3 linked regions of the Lonchura striata genome follow. The protein of the gene in region 1 interacts with the protein of each later gene in a pairwise test. Links are inferred from orthologs where the notes say so. Each region holds a gene or a part of one and is shown in the gene's direction. Other genes may lie near its edges.

Region 1 (7,417 bases):
TGTTGTGACAGGTGCTGTGCAGTTGAAAATGCTGATTAATGCTGCCTTTGAGAATGTGCCAGTTTCTGGCCTCTGAGGAGAGAGCCCCTGCTGTCTGTGCTCTGTCTCACGCCTATCAACCTGCTAAACACACATGCCATCATTCTGAGCACCCGGCTTGGCTCTGCTGACAGGTATTTATTTAAAACTTGGCTTGATTCCGAAAAGAGGCTATGGCAGAAGCAGCAAAGTGGGCCTGAGCAGTGCTGCTGGCTCCTGTGGCTGGGGGGAGGCAGGAAGGGATGAAGGGGCCTGCTCTGGAGAGATGGGCACAGAATCCTCCCTCTGGAAAGTGTCTCCTGGCACTGGGTGGCTCTCCAGGCCCACAAAGTGAATGCCTAAACTGAGGTCAGAGTTGAGCAGCTTCATTGCAAGGAGGAGCTGAGGGGAGTGCACTGCTGCAGGCACAGTGCTCCAGGGCCAGGTACCTTCCTCTGGAAATCAGCTTTACTCTGATGTGCTTGACCAACCAGTGCAGCTGATGGACCAGACCTTCAATTCCAGGCAGAGGTGCCTGTGCAGAGGCAGCTTTGGAAATGGCTGAGGGCAAAGTCCCCAGGGCTGCCTTGTTCCTGGCCCCAGTGCAGCTGAGCCATGGGAATTTTTCTTGGCTGGTTGCTGATCTTTTTTTTAAATTTTTTTTCCCCCCTGGCTTTTGGACAAAATCTTCCCATTGCCCTGAGGCAGAGGGGCTGTGAGCACTGTGAGGAACGGGGCTTGGAGGAGCAGCCACCCTGCAGAACTGGCGGGCAGCTTGAGCAGCAAAACGGAGGGGGTGGACTCAGGGTCTGAATGAACAGAGAAACTTGAATGGGGCCCAGCCCTGCTAGAGGGACAGAGGAGAACATCTCGTTAGGGCAGAGCTCACAGCCAGGATGGAAAATTACTGGTAGCCCTGTGTTTGGAGGGCAGGAGGCAGCCGGGGGGGACGGGCAGCTCGCCAGCCCCAGCACATGCTTTGTGGGGCACACAGGGCACAGCACAGCTCTGCCCTGGGCTGGGTCACAGAGCCTCTGCTCCCGTCCTGGCCTCAGGGGCTGTGTTGCATGGAGAGGATACAGAGCTCCCTGCAGGATTTTACCTTCCCAGGCAGCTTCAGTGGAATGTGTGGTGTCAGGATGTGGAGCAGCAGGGCTGGCTCCTGCCTGTCCCTGTCTCTGTCTCTGCCCACAGCCCTGAGCTCACGCACAGGCAGTGCCACAGTGCAGCCTTGCCTTGTTCTGCATGAAGCCCAGCACTTCTGGGGACACCAACCCCTCCTGGCACCAATCTGGGACCTCTGGGCAAGGTTTGAGGTGTCTCTTTTGGGGCACCCAAGATTTAATTGCCCTGCTGCCATTCTGGTTTGGATTATTTTGGAGCCAGCAAGGTGTGGACCTTTTGCTGCCCTGGGGATGTAAGGCTGGGGCAGATTGTGCCTGCCCTAGGGGTGGGATGTCCAGCCAAGGTGGGATGCAGGATGGGACCCATCACCAACAGCTGCTGCCACTCCAGTGCTGCTGCCTCACACCCAAGATAACCCTCATTATGGTCAAAGCTCCAGCATGTGATCCCATGCCCATGGAGCAGCTTTACCTGGGAGACACCTCTCCCTCAGCACCAGCACATCCCCACAGCCACCAACGTCACACTCACTGCTTTGTGTGCACTGCTGGATTCTGGGAAATGGTTCCTGAGCATTTTTGAAAATAGGTCTTTGGGATATGTCTCACCAACTGCTTATTCGCATTTCTCCCTCTTTTGAATAGCTTGACTGAAACAATCCATCCAAGATCCAGAGCTAGCAAAGCAGAACCAGCAGCCACTGGCTTCAAACAATGTTTATATTTAAGGGCAAGAATAAAAACATCACACTCACGCACAAATGAGGCTAAATTTAGCTGTGACTCCTCTGCACATCGTCACTGGACTGCCTGTGCCTCAGGGTGGTATCTAATCCCCATGAAGCCCTTCGATACAGGCACATTGATCCTGCTGCTCCCCTGCACAGCCAGCCTGGGCAGCCAGCACATCAGCCCCAGGCTGCTTCTCCTCCTGCTCCCAAATCAGCCCTGTGTGTGCAGCACAGGATGCAGCCTGGAGCTGTGGACGTGTGTCAAACCCTGCCCTGCCTCAGGGCTTGGATTCAGGGCTCTGCTTCCCTGCTGGTCACCTCTACATCTCTCTCTGCTGATGGCAGCTGTGTGCTCTGTCCACCACCAGCTGCCCACCACAGGAGGGGTCCACTGCCAGTGTTGGGTGCCACTGTGGGAAGGGTGGCCAAGGGGTTCAGAGCTACCTGCAACAGGTTTAGGGGTCCCAGCTCACCTCTGCCAGGCTGAGATTGCACCATCACAACAGGAACGTTTTGTGGGGTCATGCTGGAGCATTTTTATTGGAGTTTTATGGTCTCTGCCTTTTTAATGAAATCTTTCCAGGTTTCTTCCAGAGGGAAGGAAAATGAAAGGTCCCAGGACCTCTGGTCCTGCCATCTCCCTCTTGCCACCAATGGCATCTGTGGGTTCAGCAGTTCTGGCCCACTCTCTCTCTGCTTGAAGGTGTGACTGCTGAGGAGAAGATAAATCCCAAGCATGAAAAAGAATTTATTCCCATAGAAACCCCTGGCAACTGAAGGGAGAGGAGGAGGAGGTTTAAATGTGTGCAATATTAGGAAGATCAGAACCAACACTGTCTCGTCCCTGACCAAGTTCAGAGAAAACCTCTTGGCTGCTGGACCCACAGAAGAGGGGGAAAAGCAGCGCTGAAGGCAGGGAAGATTTGATCCCATTGAAGTGCTAGGTGAGGGACTGGCTCCTACTTGAGGGATTTAAGAGTCCCTGAGCTCCCTGACATCATGGGCTTTTCGCTCTTTGAGGTGAGAAGGCGAATGCAGCCTGGATGCAGAACTCGTGGTGACTCAGCGGGAGAGGCTGAAATCAGCTGAAATCTGGTTGCCATCCAAAAAGCCTGGGACAAGCTGTTAAAATTGATGTACCAGGGATGAATGTCAGTATGAGCAGACATTTCTCCAGCCCCTCAGCAGCTATTTGTAGGATGACTGCCTGTGGCTTCTCTCAAGGCACCCCATGGCCCAGCAGGCAAAGGCGCCCTGAAGCAGAGGGGTCTGTTGGCCACTGTGGCTGGCTGAGGGGCAATGAGGCTGAGCTCTGAGATACCTGATTCAGCCCAGTGCTGAGGAACCAAGCCTGTTGAGAGGAGGTGATGGGGTCCTCAGGAGCTCCCCATGGTTTGATAAGAGCCAGTTTTGGATGGTATGTCCTGTGCAGTTGCCTCAGGCAGCATGGGAGTGGAGGCTGTTACATCCCTAGCTGTGAGAAAAAAAATCAGTTAAAGTGATATCAGACAAGTACAGAGGAAGGAACACTGCCAGCATGACCTTGTCAGGTGTGGAGACAAGCAGGATTCAGCCCTTGCTCTGGGGCAAGCCAAGGCCCTCTGTCCTCAATGTCCCAATTGTCCCAATTCAGGAGAATTCAAGTGATTTACAACCTCCTGCTCTGCCCCAAACACAGCTGCCACCCTACACCTCCAGCATCAGTGTTCGTGGGTTCATCATGACCCCAGTCACAGCCTCCACTCCTGGGTGATCCTTCTTGACTGTCACAATCTCCATTCCCTCACAGACCATTGTGGTCCTGCTGTGGGGACCTTCATTGGACAGGCCCTTCTTATCCTGAAACCACCTGGCAACCTTGATTGGGACCATCCTATGTTCAGGGCAACCTACATTCCCATGCCCCAGAGGACCCTTAGGTCCCTTGTAATCTGTGTTTTCTTTCCTGGATACTCCCAAGCCCTTTGTCCTTCGTGGCCCCACTTTCCAGGTCTCCCTACATCCCTTGGCCACCAGTGGCTGTGTTCCAGGTATCATTGTTGTGCACAGGTCTCCTCTTGTCCCAGATCCTCCCTGAGCACCTTGATTATCGCCTTCCCCTGCTCTCAGGGAGACCCAGACCCCTCGTGCATGGTCCATACCTGGGGCTGCCGCTGTCCTCTGCTTCTGGGACTCCACGACCACAGGGACCTGTTGGACCTGTTGGTCATCACGGTCCCACTCTGGGACCGAAATGGTTCCCTGCAGAGTGATGTGTGTCCTCGGCAGCCTCCATCCCCCGTGCAACCCCCCGCAGCCCCCAGCGCTCCGCGTAACCCCCGCAGCCTCCATCTCCCGTCCGCTCCCGCCTCCCTCAGCACCGCTGTTCTCCGGGTGCCCCCGTTCCCGATCCCGGCCCCGTCCCTCCCCTCCGGCCCCGGCGAGGGGAGGAGGATCCGGCCGGCGGGGCCGTGCCCAGCCCAGCCCCTGCGCCGCCCCGCGCACCTCGCTCCGGCACCGGCACCGGCACCGGCACCGGCTCCGGCTCCGGCTCCGCTCGCCCCGCGCCGGGGCCGCCGCCGCCTCAGCCCGCCCCGCCCGCCGGGACTCGCCGCCCGGCATGAAGGTGCTCCGGCACAAGATCGAGCTCCTGACAGGTACGGCCCGGCCGCCCGTGCCGGAACGGGGGCTGTGAACCGAGGAGGGGCGATGGGACCGGGGGTGGCGAGAGCCTTCGGCCCCTCAGCCCCTGCCGAGGAGATGGAGCTGCCCGCACCGCCCGCCCGCCTTTGCTCCCGCAGGTGCGGGTGCCGGGGTCGGGTCCTTGTCGGAGTCCGGGAGCTGATGCCTTGCTGCAGCGGGGAAAGCCCAGCCCGGGTGTGCTGGGAAGGGGGAACGGAGCCGGCAGCTCCTGGCAAAGAGGGCCGGCCGGCAGACAGCCGGGGGTGGGGGTGCCAGGGGGGATTGCTGGAGCATCCCTGCGGTGCCTCCCCGCTCCTCAGCCAGCCTCCCCTGGGAGTCTCCCCGCTGCCCCGACGAACGCGCTGGGCTGGGAAGGAGGCCGCTCTTAGCAACAGCCACCGTGGACAGCCTGAGCCCCCACACAGCCCCCTGCTGCCACCGCCGCCCCCAGACCCTGCGCGGCTCAGCCCACGCGTCAGTGGCGCCGCGTCCCCCACGGGGCTCCGTGGCGGGGCTGCCCGGTCTGCGCCCCTCAGCCGGACCACACTGTTCGGCTGCTTTGTGGGGGCTGCTGGGGTACAGACCTGTGTCCCTCACGGGTTCAGAGAAAGCTGAGGCTGTTCCTCCTGCACTGGTGGAGGAGGATGTGGCCCAGACTGTGTCACACCGGGGTTTTCCTTCACCCCATGGTGCTCCCCCATCGCTCCTGCTCCGGGGGCAATGCAGTGGGCACACGGCCGTGGCTCAGACTGAGCTGCAAGTTCCCTTCCTCCCTCTCCCAGCCTCACTGAAGGCTGCCTTGGCTTCACTGGCTGGCAGGAACCAGCCCTCACTTCTCCTGATTTGTCTGCCTGTTTGTTGCACGCTGCTCAGTCAGCCCGAGGTATCCGTGCCAACATCCTGTGGGCAACACATCCGTGCCAGGGCAGCAGGCAGGTAGTCAGTGTGGGGACTCTTGTGAGAGTGAGACAACATCTGAGGGATCCCGGCCCTGTGACCACACATGCTCCCAAGTGTGTAATGGAGCTCACAACTTTGTTGTGATAATTTAGTAGTAGTAGTAATAATAATAATAATAATAATAATAATAATAATAATGCTACAAGCTGGTTCTCCTGCAGTTAGCCAGCAGTGGGCTGCAGATCCCTGGGGAAGGTAAGCCAATGTGGCTGTTCCTGTCCCATCTATATACACAGTGCCAGGGCCCTGGTGGGAGAGAACACTAGTCCCAGACAGAGCACTTATGTCCTGCTGGGTTTGGAACTGATTGGGAATTAGGGAAGAGACATGTCCTGGCTGTGCCAAGGAAACTGTGGCACCACACTGGGAAGGCAGAGTGGGAGCAGAGATGGGTGTGTTTGGGGTGATGCCCTGGGAATGGGTGCTTGTTGGGGAGCACTGGGGTGAGCTGCAAGGAAAAGGACTCGTTGCTGGGCACATTACCCTGGCAGAAGATGGGAGCCAAGTTGTTTTGGCTAGGAGACCTGGAGCTGTGGCTTCCTCACCAGCCCTCAACAGTGACAGTGGCCCAGTGGGGCTGGGTGAGACTGCCCACAGCCCCACAGCTACAGTGCTGAGGAGGGACGAGGGTTCCTGTGGGTGGCATGGGATGCAGAGCACCCAGGATGGGTGGCTGCATGGCTGTGACCCTGCTTACTGATCCCTGACTCGCTGATCCCTCCTCTATTCCCACACTCAGCACCACTTTAGGAAGCTGTGCAGGGGAAGCTGGTTGGGGCAGAGCTCTGCTACGTTCCTCCTGAGCCAGCATTGCCCCCACCATGCAAACAAGGTCACGGGGCCTTTCCTCATGGCTCAGCCACCCTCCCTCCCTCCCATATTAGCTGCAGGCTGTAATTAATAAAGGCATTCACCATACACTAAGTGCTGTTCCCAGCCACGCTGGGGCTGTGGCCACACGGTGGGTTGGTGTGCTCAGCGTGGGACACTCCTGCTCTCCTCCAGACCCAGCTATTGGTGAGGCTGATTTTTCTCCTGGTTTTTCCCCTGGGGTTGTGGGGTTGCTCAGTTGGTGGCTCTGCAGGCTGTGTTGGCTCGGCTGTGCTGGTGGGCTGCAGGCCAGGGCTGTCCCTGTGCACAGAGCCATCTCCCCAGCAGCACAGCCCAGCCTGGAGCAGTGTGCCCCTCATTTGTGCCTCTCCATGGGGCTCATGGCACCTCTCCACATCCCCTGATCTCGTGGGACTCTCTGGGCAGGGGTGGCATGGAGACTCCTGGTGCTGGGTGCCCCGGGAATCTCGAGAGGCTTTGGAGTGGTGTTTCTCCCTCCAAACAGTTCTGGATCTTTGGATGGCTCCCAGGGAGCAAGGCAAAGTGCTGTGTCTGCAGGAAGCAGGCAGGTGGCACAGCCTGCTTGAGTTTTGAATGGAAAACCCAGTCGGAGGAGCAAAACCCGACTTTGGAGGGAAGTTTATGACCAACTTCTGTATCCTGGTGGTTTTGCAATATTTGTGGCATTTCTTGGCCTTCCCACATTGTCAGCCTGGAGTGATCTAGGTTTGGAGGTGGACAAAGTGTGAAGCAGGCTCGGCTGAGGCCGTGAGGATGGAGTGGTTCCGTGTCTGCTGCGGTGCCCGTACAGCCCAGAGCATCCCCGTTATGTCCAGGGAGATTGCACGGGGGGGGGAGACAGCTGGGAGGATGTGGGATCAGTGCTGGCTCATTTGGAGAGGCAACAGCTTGTCTGTCTTGTGGAAAGGGTGAAAACAGGCTGCAAAGGCAATGCCTGAGGTCTGGATCCTGCTTGAGTGTAGATTATCCCCTGGCACTGGCATTTGCCAGATACCCATTCCATTCAAACACAGGGGAGCCTGGACTGTTCCCTGTGTCCCCATGTCTTTCACCTTCTGTGTGCAGCCAGCT
Region 2 (6,880 bases), on another chromosome or scaffold:
GCCAAGAACAGAACACTTGACTTCTTGAGACATTTTCCCATTAGGTAACTTGGCTTTGCTCTGCCATGTCCCTCTCTACCCACCTTGCCTCCTGTACCATCTCAGGTCAGGATCTTCCTCTTTGCTATTAAGAGATTCTGCATTTTTACTTTTGCTGCACCCTTACACAGCTAAAAGGAATTTCTTAAAGTAAATAAAAGGAAAATTGGCCCTTGGCATGCTATACTGTATTGCTAGAGACCAGCAGTGCCACCAAGTCAAAAATGAACCGCTGGTAAGCTTAGGAACATGGAAACAATGTTATGAGAACAGGTGAGGAACCTCAGCCTGACCTCCCTAACACCAGCTGACTCCAGCAGGGTCCCTGGCTCTGTGCCAGCCTCCAGCTGTGTGGTGCCTGTGTGAAGGGATCCTCAAACACCCCTAACCAGCCAGCAAAGGATTCCCTGCTTCAAAGGGCACCCTGAGAGCCAAAGCAGACAGGAAAATGCCTTTCATCCCATGGCTCTGGGCACGGAAGACACTTCTGCAGGAAGAGGCCATGTCCAAAGTACCACCATAGCATTATGAGCCAGCCAGAAAATGCTGCTGAGAGCAGCTCTGAGACTGCTTGAAGCTGCTCCAGGGACTGGTTTGGTAACCAGCCATCCCTGGCACTGGTGGACCAAACAGGTGGCACATTTATCTTCATCTCCTCAGCACACATCCCAAGCTCAGTTTAACTGGATTAAGTGAGAAATTTCAACAGTTGTTTTCCTCTTGGTGCAAGAAGGGGCAACATGCATTCACAAACTTGGCCCTGCTTGTTAAAAAAATTAAAACTGTTGCACTGCCTCACAAGAAACCTCAACAATGTGGTGGTATTTGCACACTAATTCATAATATGCATAGATCCAACCATGATCCTGAAGTTCTGTTACCACTTACTAAATACACTACAACAAATGATGCTAAAGGCATTCCTTATCATTCATCTTATGCAAGCCAGTTTTATGCCAATTTAATTTCACTGGCTAAGGGGTAATGACCCCAGAGTTTGTACCAGTGTGAGATCAGAATCCTGTATGAAATTTCCAGGAGCATGCTAAATTATTTCATCCATAAACAAAAAGCCTGTGTTGCATGATCAACTCCAGGCTTTCTATTTTTGATATGTAACTAACTTAGGAGAGTTTGTATTCCACATTAAGAAATAGCAGCTTTGCAAATCTAAAAGAAACACAGACAACTATTAGGGGCAACTTCCTCCAGAACAAGAAAGAAGCGGATCCTGTCTAGAAAACCTTGCCTAGTTCCACTCTGGCTTGGGGAATCTGTTTGTGCATAAACAGAGCCACAGGAAAACAGGGTTACTGTCAATTATTTGGTTTGTATTTTCCATCTCTTTGACCATTTTGGCAGACCACCCTGGTGCACTCCATAACATAGGACATGAGATAACATCTCTTCCTGAAATGCTTCTGATAACATAGATAAGGCATTAAGGACCATGAGTTCTGAAATTGGCATTACTTTCACCTGTTATCTAGTATCCTTACTAATATTCAGCTCTTCCAGAAGTATCAATGCCATACCTCACAAAAGGTAGTCTGAATCTTGCTGCATGTGACTGCTGTGTAATTTTCATATCCAGTATGATGTACACATGTACACTGCTAAACCAGCAACTGGTTTAGTAGTTCTGTGACAATGCTTCCTTTACATTAGACTGCCATAGCATTAGAACATGAAGGGAATAGAGCTTTTTACAGCTGCTTAAGAGCAATTTTTACTCCTTGTGGTTGTATAGACAGACTTTCCTACTCACAATGAATCAATATACTTCTGCCTACCTATTCACTTTGGTGGACTGGAAGCTGCATCATTACTTTACCTTCTAACATGCCAAGATGCAATTAGTTATACAAAAATGCTATTAAAAAGCAGTTAAACACAAACATGTGCTTTTGCATGGAAACTTAATCTCTTTAAAAAATCCAGTTCTTTAAAGATTCAAACAGTACATGAATCAGTATAAAAGCAATCCCACAGGGCATGCAGCACATCTTGCCTGAACACAGCAAAAATAATTTAAAGAGACACTTAATTTAAGCTTTAGGAAAAAGCAGAGAATTAGGCTTCAGGAAAAAGCACAGCCAAAAATCTACTCAGTAGATCTATACCTAATTGTGAAAGTGAAATTTGGACTTTTTTGTTAGAACCAACTAAATTTCAATAAAATAAGTGTTATAAGGAACGTGCAAGTAAAAAGAAATAGGATTTACAAGCACATGGTATGTAATCATTAGTAAAATCTAGTACTGCTAGGAGTTCACACAGATTAACTATGCAGCTAAATAATAACACTGGAAATGTTTATGACCAAGTATTATTTGTACTTCCTTTGTGTAAGATAAGGACAATCACATTTCTTGTTCTGAATCATAAACCAGCCCTGTTTTCCACTGTCTCAGACTTCTCCCTCTGCAGGGCAGTCTTAACAGATTTAGGGCCAGACTGTGACTTTTATTTGACATATGGTCTCCAGATAACAATCCCAAGAACAAACCTCCTACACCTAATCACTTATGCACAAGTATCAATCCCATTCCTTTCCAAAACAGCCAAAACAGGTCCTGTAGGCATGCACTTCCAGAGCCTTAAGTCTTTTCCTGAAGATAAAAGGATGGAACACAAGGTTCACTTTTCAAATAGGTCTAGAGGAAAAAAATAATATATCATTGGATAGGCAATGGGGTAAAGCACTCAGAAAAGAGGGGAGGCTGTGCCTTCTTCAGCCTAATGGGGATTCAATCCAGCATCTCCTACTTAAGAGTTCAAGAGGCATCCAGCTACAAGAGGCATAGAGATGAAGACAGAGCACAAGAAAGAATGTGAACTTTTGCTTCTTCCTCCTTTAGATGCCAAGATTTCAAAGCCAAGCAATCATTAATGCATTTTAAAAGCATCACAAATCTATTTGTGTACGGAATGGTATGGCAGAAACACAGATGAGTCCTGTTTTATGGTGCCAACTGCTCTCCACCTAGGGCTTGGATTGGGGTGGGGAAGACAGGCATCTCAGGATGTGGCATTTCTTGTCATCACAAAAGCATACCCGAGAAACATCATGCATCGAAAAGAAAGGAATAAGGTCTTTATACCCAAGTCAGTTCAATCTCCAGAGCAGCTACATACACTTGCATGAAACCTTCTTAAAATGTTATCTCTAAAATCGCAGCCGTATGTGTGGAGTATGAACACTGAATGGGATAACATTGGGTGAAACAGTCTTGGTCATTCCAGAGGTAGCACATCTCAGCCTAAGGCACAACGGGAGAAATAAGTGAAGTGCTGCTGGATGGCATCTCCATCTGGAGAAGATGCTTGTATAAAGAAGCATAAGAAAATAAATGGATTATAAGTAGTCTCATGAATGTATACCTTTCTCTACCCCAAAGTTTTACAAACATTTTCTACTACTTTTAATCAGTGGTACACAGTTGAGCCAGACCGAGCAATAAGAAGATACAAATGAAATGTTTTCAATATTTTGAATGGATAACCTAGTAGGCGCCTTTAAATAAAACAGTGCAACGACTCAATTTCGAAGCCCGAACATCCGTAACCAGAAGGTAAATAAAAACCTTTTGCAAGCCGGCATTGGGAAATCACGCCCGAGTCCGGCTGGCCTGATTCAGGACTCGTGAATGCGGAGCGCCGCGCTGCCGTGAAGCCGGGAGGCAGTGGCCGGACACGGCCCGAGCCCGGCTCCGGCCCCGGGCCCGGCCCCGCTCCGGGCGAGGCGCGGCGGCTGCGGGGCGGGGCCGGGCCGGGCCGGGCCGGGCCGGGGGAGGCGCGGCCGGCCCGCCCGCACCTGCGCCGCCCTCACCGCCGCCTCCTCGCCCACCTGGCCGCGCTCGGCACGGCCGCCGCCGCCGCAGCAGCATGTTGCCCAGGGGAGCCTCGTCCATGCCGCCGCCTCCCAACCCCGCTCCCTACTTCCCGCCTCCGCGGGTCACGCTGCCCTCCGGCCTGGAGATCCTGCGCACCTTCTCGGGAGCCGTCATCTTCCTGGAGATCGTGAGTGCAGGGCCGCGGTGGGGAGCGCCAGGGCCTGCCGCGCCGCTCGCCTGCCATCTTGTGAGCGGGGCAGGGGCAGGTGCGGGGCCGGGGCTCCGCCCGCCCGGCTCGCTGCCCTCGGCCGCGGCCCGCACGCAGATGGGCTTCGCGGGGCTCCCTCAGCTGTCCGGGGCTTTGAGCCACGCTCTGCTCCCGACCCGAAAAGGCACCACGGAGAGTTACACCAGGTTCTGTCTGCGCGCCTGTTGCGCGTCCTCTGCAAACTCCTACGAGCGTGCTCAATGGCACGTGTGTGTTAGACCCCGCAGGAGTACGCAGGGCTGAGGACCTTTGAGCTGAGCTTGGATATGGCGCTCTGTGGTGCCACTGATTAATGGGTGATGAAAAACAAAAAAGCTTGGTAGAACCCCTCTGACTTTATTAATTTACTCTTTCCCGTACGGTCAGAGCAGAATACTACTTGGGTCCCAGACTGTGAGCTGGGTCCCACCTCACAAGCTTTAAAATTGTACCTGAGTAAGGAGCAAGCTGAAACTCGAAACACAAGTCCGGGCACTAAATCAGGCCCAGAGGCAGTAGGGACAAAAGGTTAGTTCAGCTGGCCAACCAATTGTACTCTGACAGGCAAGCTGTTGTGGACAGGTGTAGCGTGAGGGAAGTAGCACAACAGTGGGTGCTGAGATTAGCAGTCTCTACAGTACAGTTCTAAATTTATTTTTAAGGAACCCTGCAAGTCTGCACATTGAAAATACTGAAAGCATTTAATGTGTCTCTGTTTTTTGTTTAACAGACACTTTCTGCTATCCCTTTTGTTTCCTCACTGCCCATCACTCTCTGGTCACCAAGTAACAGACTTGCACCTGCAGTCTTATGAAACTAGAGAAAGTTTGGTTCTTCACAGATAAAAAAGGAACCCTAGAGAACAACTTGAACAGTAATACATAAACCCATGGGAGCTTTGAACTGAGACTAGCAATGCATCTTTACACATGTGCTGCTGCACCAGAGAGGAACCAACTTATTTTGTAGCAGGCATCTTTTGAAAGGTATCTCTTATCCAACTGTGATACAAAAGAAAGCTATCTGAATCTGAAAATGTAACCTCTGACTTCCTGGTTTGTAAATCTGTGGAATTCAAACAGGAAAGAAGTTACTTGCGCTTGGAAATATATTTTAGTTGACACTATTCAGCAGTTTGGATTATGAATTTAAATCTTTCTGTCATAAACAAACATACTTGGAGTGAATCATAATTGTCATCTATTTATGTTTTTTTATTAAGAGGCAGGATTTGCAGGAAGAAATAGTTGTGTTCCTTAGGCCAAAAGTTGATTAAGCCAGGGAAGCCTTAGAGTGTGTAAATTCTCCATCACCATCCCTAGCACAGTGTCCCTACCACTCATTTGCCGTGAGGAGTCTGCTGAAATGAAATTGGCACTGCTGAATTCTTCTCCAAGTTATGATGATTCTGGAAACTTCTATATTTTTCTAGTCTTTACAGCATAGTTTACAACTCACCTTATTCTGTATTCTAGGTTTTTTTCTTTTGTTTTATGCTTTCTGTCCTCCTTCAGCTTGGTATTACAAATATATTGAAAAAATGGGTGTCTTTTTATCTCCTTTCTGTATCTCATCTGATTAGGACTTCAAAGCGAAACATTATGAAATTGAATCCAAAGTAGTAGAAGTACATCCTTTTTGTGCTAATTTGCGTATTTAGAGAGAGATTTGTGTGTGTGTGTACTGTGTTTTCACATTTCTTATATTTTATTCAAAATTGCAGTAAGGATAAAATTTTCAGCAGGACACAAGTCACCTGGGTTTGTAAATCCCATTTTCAAGCCTATTTTAAGAACCTTTAGGAATTTCAGAGTGGCTTTGTATTTTCACCACTTAGTGCCTATCATTTCTGAGAGGAGGACTTGGGCTCTCCGAGTACTTTTGAAGTGTTTCTTCTTGGTTTCTAAGAGTCATCTGATGATATGTAATGTGTGATATCAGTTCTTAGGCAGAAAGTACTGAGTAAAAGCTGTCCAGTTTATTCTCTGTATTCCTTTCCTTGCAGCTGTTTGGAACAATAGTCTGGATTTTGGTCGCCTCTACCCAAATTCCACTGGCACTGCTGCAGGGATGGGTAATGTTTGTGGCAGTGACGGCGTGGTTCCTCTCCATTGTCTTCCTCTCTGTGTTCCTCTTTGGTTATGCAAATAGAATTGCTGTCAACTGGAACCAGGCGGTAAGATTTTTCATTTGTTTAAGGATTCCCTTTGTTTTATAAACTGAAAATTATTTAATGAGACGTGTCGATCCTAAGTCTTGGCACCTGGCTTTCTGCTTTAGCACAAAGTTTTTTCAAACAGGAATTCAAAACCAGAAAAAGAAAGAACAAGATTACAGAGGTGGCAGAGGAAACTGTTTTATGATGGAGGCTGAAGGAGCTTTTGAAGCTGTTTAATGGAGTACACTTGTCCTCTCTGAACACATAAAATGTATGAGCAGCAGGAAGAGCACTAACTTAAAAGGTGTGGAAAGAAATTGGTTTAAATGGCCAGGAATTATTGTGCACTGGGAATCAGAAAATACTTTCTGACTATTAGAGAAGTGGTAGTAACACCTCATGAATAATGAGATGTAGAAAGATATATCAAATATTATAAAGGAAAGGATGAATTTGTGAACATGCTGTGTGATATGGTTGTCTGAGGTAGCACAGACTGGACTTCAGCACCCAGAATATCCCCTCCAGTTCCTAAGAAAGTCTACTGGTGACTTTGGGTCAATTGCTCAAAGCTAGGGCAGCAATGGTGAGTGGCTGTTA
Region 3 (7,393 bases), on another chromosome or scaffold:
CTGAGGCGGGCTGGGACCAGCCCGGTGCTGGGCTCGGCGGCCGGCGCGGAGCTGCTGCTGTGGCAGAGCTGTTGTGACACTCACGATCTGCACCTCGCTGGTGGCCCTGCTGCTGTAGGTGGTGGTGAGGATGGCGGGGCAGCTCTCGCTGTAGCGGGGCCGCTGCCCGTCCGCCAGGACGCTGCCCACCGACACCGTGTAGATGCTGTTGGTGTACCCGTCGCAGTTGCAGTTGTCGTAGTTGGTGCCGCCGTTGCCCGAGGCCCAGATGAAGATGGAGCCGAGCCCACCCCGTCCCTGTTGAAGAGCAGAGGGGGGTCAGCAGGTTGTCCTCGTGTCCCTGTGGCCCTCAAGGCCAGGGCTGGGCTTACCTGGACGACCCCTCTGTGGAAAGCGGCCGCAGCCAGGACTCCGGGCCCGTCCACCGTCCTGCCATCGTCCTCGGGGCCCCAGCTGGCGCTGTAGATGTGGATGTACTGGGGCTGCAGGCCCAGGGCCTGGGCCTCCACCATGTCCGTGATGGAGCCGTCCAGCATCCGCACGCCTGAGGGAGGCACCGGGCAGCCGTGGAGGGGACGGGAGCCACGCACGAGCCACACCAAGGGCAGGGCCTGGAGCTTTCAGTGCCCCTGCCCTAAGGAGATCAGGCCCCCTCGTGTCTGTGCCCTTCCCAAAGCTCCTCATTAAGCCTTTTTTCATTAAGCACAGGGAGTGCTCCTGGTGTTTAACCCCCCCTTTGCCACCTTCACTTCCACAGAGGAGCCTGAGCCTGCCCTGCTGGTCTTGGGCTGAGCATCAAAGCCTTGGCAGCACCGAGCCTGATGTGGGGCAGCAGCCACCCTTGTAAAGCCCAGAGCAGCCCCACCTGGGCTCCTGCATCCTCACAGGGGGCTGGAGATGATTTCCAGCTTCTCTCACAGAGGAGCAACATCTTACCTCCAATTTTGGCATTGTAGGCGACGCCAGCACCGCAGATTCCATTGTTGGCCACGGCTGCCACTTCCCCCGCGCAGCGTGTCCCGTGCCTGGGGGGACAGAGTGACCCTGAGAGGGGTGGGGGGCCTGGGACAGCCCCAGGGCTGACCCCCCCAGTGTGGGGAGCTGGGCAGAACCCACCAGTTCTTGTCGCTGTCGCTGTACCGGGGCTGGGGGTCGGGGTCGTTGCTGTTGAAGTCGTAACTGGCCAGCGGGTCCTGTTACACGGCGAGGCAGCGGCGTGAGGGCCCGGGCAGGGCTGTGGCAGCTTGGCACAGGCTCCTGGCACCCAGCCCGGCGCTGGCACCGCCGAGGGACCCGCCTGCCAGCCCAGGGGACAGCGGGGCCCCTTCGTGCCCAGCTGTGCTGGGAGCTAAACCGAGACCCGAGAGGGAAGGGAGCTGGGGAAGGGGCTCAGCCCGGGGAAAAGGAGGAGCAGGGGGAAGCTTCTGGTTCTGTACCAGTCCCTGGCAGGAGGGGACAGTCATGGGGGTCAGGCCCAGGGGACAACGGCACAGGAGGGAACAGCCTCAGGCTGTGCCTGGTGGGACATCAGCAGGAATTTCCCCATGGGAAAGGTGGGCAGGCCTTGGCAGGGGCTGCCCCGGGAGGTTTGGAGTGCCTGGAGGTGGCACTGGGTGCTCTGGGCTGGTGAGAAGGTGGGCACAGGTTGGACTCGATGATTCTGAAGCCCTTTTCCAGCCTCGGTGGCTCTGGGGTGGTGCAGGAGGGGCTGGAAGCAGCACAGCTTTGCTGAGGGTGACCCTCGCTGGCCACACAGCCCCGGGAGAGGAGCCACGGCACAGTTCCACACCACCAGGGCTGCTTTTCCTTCTTGGGAGGGTTTGCCCACCACGCTGCCTTTGCAGCTTGCTGCAATCACACCTCTGGGGGCTCCTCTGCGTGGGCACGTCAGAACATTTCAAACCCAGTGTGAAATTGTACCATGGGAGGCTCCAAACCCTGGATCCAGCCCCGGAGGGGCCAAATTCCCACCGGGAATGCTGGAGGTGGGCTGACAGCATCGACCCCACCCTCCCTGGAGGAGCAGCTCCTGGACCCCCCCATAATTACGTAGTTGGCGGCCAGGTCGGGGTGATCCTTCTCCAGCCCATCGTCCAGGACAGTCAGCACCACGCCCAGCCCCGTGTAGCCTCTGCTCCACGCCGTGAGGATGTTCAGGTCGGGATGGACGTCGTTGTTCTGGAAAACAGATTAACTCCGATCGGGGTCACCTGCGGGAGTGCTGCTGCCTCAGCACTGCCGGCATTAGCCGGGATCATGTCCGGGTGGGGCGCTGGGAAGGGCACGGCCAGCGGGCACGGAGGGACCCTGCCCCTCTGCCCGGCCCTGGGGGCATTTCTGGGTGCTGTTCCCAGTCTGGGGTGCTGTGCCCAGCTCTGGGTGCTGTGCCCCGTCTAGGGTGCTGTGCCAAATTTAGGGTGCTGCGACCAGTTCTGGGGCACTGTGCCCAGTCTGGGGTGCTGTGCTCAATTTAGGGTGCTGTTCCCAGCTCTGGGGTGCTGTTCCCAGTTCTGGGGTGCTGTGCCCAGTCTGGGGTGCTGTGCCCAGTTCCGGGGTGCTGTGCCCAATTTAGGGCGCTGTGCCCAGTTCTGGGGTGCTGTGCCCAGTTCTGGGGTGCTGTGCCCAGCTCTGGGCTCCTCGGGACGTGCAGCTCCCAGAGGGGTCCAGTGCAGGGTCACAAGGCTGAGGAAGGGATTGGAACACCCTGACAAAGAAAAGCTGAGGGAGCTGGGGCTGTTCAGCCTTGAGAGGGGCCCTCAGCCCCGGGTGTCCCTGGCTGCTGCCCTGGGAGGGCTCAGGGCAGGGCCAGACTCGCCCTGGGGACCAGAAATGGCACCAGAGGAAGGGGCAGGGAGTGATCCCAGGAATTCCCCTGCACAGGAGGAAGAATTCCTTCAGTGTGCAGCACCTGAGCCCTGAACAGAGGCCAGAGGGGCTGTGGGGTTTCCCTCCCTGGGGATATCCCAGAGCAATCCAGACCCAATCCTGTGCCTCTGGGATGGTGCTGAGCAGGGAGGGGGCTCTGGATGTGCCGCTGCTCCCCTCCATCCCGCGACTGGGGTGGGGATGAGGAGGGGAAGCAGCCGGCTCTCACCATGTACCACTGCTTGGGGAACCAGGGGTCGGTGGGCACCACGCCCGCGCCTCTCTTGGAGCGTCTCTTCAGCGTCTGCTGCTCGAACCACAGGACCTGGGCGGGGAGCAGCGCTGTGAGCGCCCGGCCGTGCCTGCCCACAGCTGTCCCCTGGCACCCCGGGCCTTCCTCCCTACCTGGGGGTCCCTGGCGAGCCGCATGTGCCACCCCCAGTGCCGGCTCAGGGCTCTCTGCCGGCTGCCGCGGTGGCTGAAGTGGTGGAAGGGCTCTCCCTCCATCACCTGCGGGCACAAAGAGCTGCTCGGAGGGTGGATTGAACACCAGCAGGATGGGCAGAGTGTCCCCAGGGTGGATTGAACGCCAGCAGGACGGGCAGAAAGTGTCCCCAGGGTGGATTGAACACCAGTAGGACGGGCAGAAAGTGTCCCCAGGGTGGATTGAACACCAGCAGGACGGGCCAAAAGTGTCCCCAGGGTGGATTGAACACCAGCAGGACAGGCCGAAAGTGTCCCCAGGGTGGATTGAACACCAGCAGGACGGGCCAAAAGTGTCCCCAGGGTGGATTGAACACCAGCAGGACGGGCAGAGTGTCCCCAGGGTGGATTGAATGCCAGCAGGACGGGCCAAAAGTGTCCCTTGGGAACAGCGTGGAGTCCTGGGGAGGGGCTGGGTGCCTCGGGGGTCCCTCGCTCACCCCTGCACGCTCAGGGGCCGTTTGCTCTGAGGCTGGGGGGACCCTGGCACGGAATTCCCAGATTCCCAGGGAGCCTTGGAGGGGAAGTGTTGAGCAAGTGTTGGATGGGGCTTGGAGTGACCAGGCCTAATGGAAGACATCCCTGCCCACGGGACAAGCGGAGGGGACGAACAGAGGCAGCACCGGGCCAAGGGCACACGGGGTGGGCTGGGCCCGCCTTCCCCGCCCAGGCCGCACCTGGCCCCGGTAGAGCAACCCGTGCCGGCGGGCCAGAGCCCGGGCGTCCCTCAGCCCCGGCGCCACCCGCACGGCCCAGCTGCTGAGATACACTCGGGGCTTGGCGGGGCCCGGAGGGGCGGCGGCGGCCACCGGGAGCAGCACCGGGAGCAGCACCGGGACAAGAACCGGGACAAGAACCGGGAGCAGCGCCGGGCCGGGCCGGGCCGCGCCGCCATGAGGCCGCGCTGCCATGGCAACGGCGTCGGCCACGCCCCCCGCACGGCCGCGCCTCATTGGCCCGCTGCTCCCCGCCCCGCCCTCCCATTGGCCACGCCCTCCGCTGAGCCCCGCCCCCTGGCGCTGGCCACGCCCCCAGCGGAGCGCTCGCCGGGCCGGGGTCGCACCGGGGCCGCTCCGGGGCCGCCGCCGCTTCAGCGCCGCCGCCGCCATGGGCTCCGTGCAGCAGCGCCTGGAGCGCTTCCTCTACAGCCCCGGCCCCATCGGCGACCTGCTGGCTCGGCTGGAAGCCCGTACCGGCGTCCAACGGCTTTACCTGGCCACAGGTGCGACCGGTACCGCGGGGCCTCCCCGGTTCTCCCCGGTTCTGTCCCCTTCTCCCCCGTATCGTGGGGCGCCTTGGCAGCTGCTCACCGTGGCTCTGGGCTCAGCACGGGGGCACGGGGAGGGCAGGCAGGACCGCGCTGGTTTGGGGGTGCGGAGGGGGTGGGGGTACCGGGGGTGACATCGCTGTCACCGCGCTGCCCTCGCCTTCCGCCGGCACCGAATCCCGGAATCCTAAAGCGTGCAGGGTCCGGGTGTCAGAGAGACCCTCGAGACCCCTGGCCTGACGGGGGGGGTCCCCATTCTGGGTGAGCCCCCAGATCGTGGTGGGTCAGATGGGGCACTGGGGATGGCAGCTCGTCCCCGTGTCCCACCGGTGGGACCGTGCGGATCCGGCCTTTAACCGGATCCCTGTTGTTCATTAATGAGGAACCAGCCGGGTTCTCCCCGGGGATCCTCCTCCTGGCACGCCGTGCCCCCTCTCCTCTGACCCTCGGCCCTGTGCCCTCTGTGCCAGCTTGAACTGGCCTCGTCCACGTGCTCCAGTTTGAGATTTGGTGCCACTCAGGCATTTTCCAAGCAAAACAATCCTGGGGATTTGCTCAGGCTCAGCCGTGATGGACTTTGGGGGTAGAACAAGAGTGGCCCCACCAAAAAGGGATGGTTCTGCATTCTGGGTCCCTGTCCTGGAAAGGAGAAGCTGTTGCTGAACTAAAAATTCCCGATTTCTCCCTCTCGTAGCTCCCTAATTTGTGTTTGAGACTTTGGGCTGGGGTTTGGAGCAACCTCTGGGCAGCACCACCTCCGGCTGCCTCAGCAAAACCTTCCCTGGGTTTTTGCTGTTACATAAATTTCTCTGGGAGTTTAAATCCTGCGAAATCCCTTCTAAGGCTCTTGGGGAGTGAAACCCAGCACTGCCTGGACCTGCCTGCCCTCCTTGGAGGGAGGTTTGGGATTGCTCCAAAGCCACGTTGCTCCTGCCCAGTGTCCCAGGAAAGACCCGGAGCTGTGGGTGCCCCGGAGCTCAGGCCAGGAATGCTGCAGGGAGCAGAGCTGGGATAATCCTCCCTCAACACCCCAGCAAGGACTTTAATTCACCAGCACAGTCAGGTTAATTCCCAGCTTTTTCCTGCTGCTGGAGGACTTTGTTCCGGTGGGACACACAAAATGCTCCATCCCGAGTATCCCAGAGGTTTTCCTGCCCAAAAGCTCCGTGTCCCACCTTCCCCAGCCACGCTTTTCCCCAGCTCCTCTGCAGCCTCCTGCGAGCGTCCGGGGCGCTGGGCAGGCTCCAGCCGCCGACGGCTCAAATTTTAATTGAGCCAGCTAATTGAGCGGCAGGGCAGCGGGATCGGATTGCCGCTCCCAGGGCGGCCAAGCCTTCCTCTGCCGGGCTGCTCGGCCACGGGGAGCGGGGCTCGTCCTTGAGCCGGAGCTCTGGGAATGCCCAGCGGCTCCGGGCCCCGCCGGGGAACCGAGCGGAGCCAAGCGGAGCCTTGACTTTGGACCATGGGCGTGTAGTCAGCGTCTCCTGCCGCCCTGGCTCTGCTCCAGGGGTGAAAGTGCTGCGAGATTGGGGTGGTGAAGTCCCATCGCAGCCCCATCGCAGCCCCATCCCAGCCCCATCCCAGCCCAATCCCAGCCCCATCCCAGCCCAATCCCAGCCCCATCGCAGCCCCATCCCAGCCCCATCCCAACCCCATCCCATCACAGCCCCATCCCATCCCAGCCCCATCCCAGCCCCATCCCAGCCCCATCCCAACCCCATCCCAGCCCCATCCCAATCCCATCCCAATCCCATCCCAATCCCATCCCAGCCCCATCCCAGCTCCATCCCAATCCCATCCCAATCCCATCCCAGCCCCATCCCAGCCCCATCGCAGCCCCATCCCAGCCCCATCCCAGCCCCATCCCAGCCCAATCCCATCGCAGCCCCATCCCAATCCTATCCCAGCCCCATCCCAGCCCCATCCCACCCCCATCCCAGCCCCATCCCAGTCCCATCCCAATCCCATCCCAATCCCATCCCAGCCCCATCCCACCCCCATCCCAGCCCCATCCCAGCCCCATCCCAATCCCATCCCAGCCCCATCGCAGCCCCATCCCAGCCCCATCCCAGCCCCATCCCAATCCCATCCCAGCCCCATCGCAGCCCCATCCCAGCCCCATCCCAGCCCCATCCCAATCCCATCCCAGCCCCATCCCAGCCCCATCGCAGCCCCATCCCAGCCCCATCCCAGCCCCATCCCAGCCCCATCCCAGCCAGGGGAGGGGGTCGCGGCTCCCTCGGGGAGGAGCAGCCTCCCCCGTGCCTCGTTCCATCCAGCACCTCCGCGACGTGGAATTAACCCGGCGTGGCTTTCACCCCCTGGCACACGCCCGTGCCTGCTCTGGGATGAGAATCCCGCTCAGGAGACCGAGCGGGGTCTCCCCCGGTGGCAGCAGGCTCCCGAGCATCCCCTGTGCCCCGCAGGCTCCCTGGCTTTCCTGGGGCTGTACCTCATGTTCGGCTACGGCGCTTCCCTGCTCTGCAATGTCATCGGCTTCGTCTACCCCGCCTACCTCTCGTAAGTACCTGTGCCGCACCTGCAGAGCGTGCCCTGCCCTTCGCTGAGCTCTCCCTGCTCAGCCAGGAGGCGATTATTGCTGGGAAGCTCTTGAGACCTTCCTGGAGAGGCTGGGACCGTGCCAGCCCAGAGCAGCCAGTGGGCAGGTTCCCTCCGGGCTGGGGGGTTTGGGAAGGTGGAGCCCAGCCCGGGACTGCAGCAGCCGTGTCCTTCCTTCCTTGTTTCTTTCCTTGTTTCCTTCCTTCCTTCCTTCCTTGT

The links. The genes of interacting proteins can lie anywhere in the genome.
Region 2: the proteins of NDRG4 (region 1) and MAL2 interact in binary tests that used the Homo sapiens proteins (3 or more experiments, as listed by UniProt). The two-hybrid records come from large-scale screens. The link is inferred for Lonchura striata from reciprocal best matches to the Homo sapiens genes NDRG4 and MAL2.
Region 3: the proteins of NDRG4 (region 1) and REEP6 interact in binary tests that used the Homo sapiens proteins (3 or more experiments, as listed by UniProt). The two-hybrid records come from large-scale screens. The link is inferred for Lonchura striata from reciprocal best matches to the Homo sapiens genes NDRG4 and REEP6.

What each region holds. Positions count from the first base shown.
Region 1 is NC_134615.1:17,573,790-17,581,206, forward strand, and holds the start of NDRG4 (protein NDRG4), read left to right. Parts: upstream 1-4,408; 5' UTR 4,409-4,472; coding exon 4,473-4,509; intron 4,510-7,417. UniProt on the Homo sapiens protein: Contributes to the maintenance of intracerebral BDNF levels within the normal range, which is necessary for the preservation of spatial learning and the resistance to neuronal cell death caused by ischemic stress.
Region 2 is NC_134603.1:14,192,710-14,199,589, reverse strand, and holds the start of MAL2 (protein MAL2), read left to right. Parts: upstream 1-3,867; 5' UTR 3,868-3,927; coding exon 3,928-4,062; intron 4,063-6,127; coding exon 6,128-6,298; intron 6,299-6,880. UniProt on the Homo sapiens protein: Member of the machinery of polarized transport. Required for the indirect transcytotic route at the step of the egress of the transcytosing cargo from perinuclear endosomes in order for it to travel to the apical surface via a raft-dependent pathway.
Region 3 is NC_134630.1:6,180,432-6,187,824, forward strand, and holds the start of REEP6 (receptor expression-enhancing protein 6), read left to right. Parts: upstream 1-4,380; 5' UTR 4,381-4,455; coding exon 4,456-4,570; intron 4,571-7,041; coding exon 7,042-7,135; intron 7,136-7,393. Other genes in the region: PCSK4 (proprotein convertase subtilisin/kexin type 4), read right to left, coding at 85-297, 372-544, 937-1,025, 1,117-1,193, 2,050-2,178, 3,095-3,190, 3,271-3,372. UniProt on the Homo sapiens protein: Required for correct function and survival of retinal photoreceptors. Required for retinal development.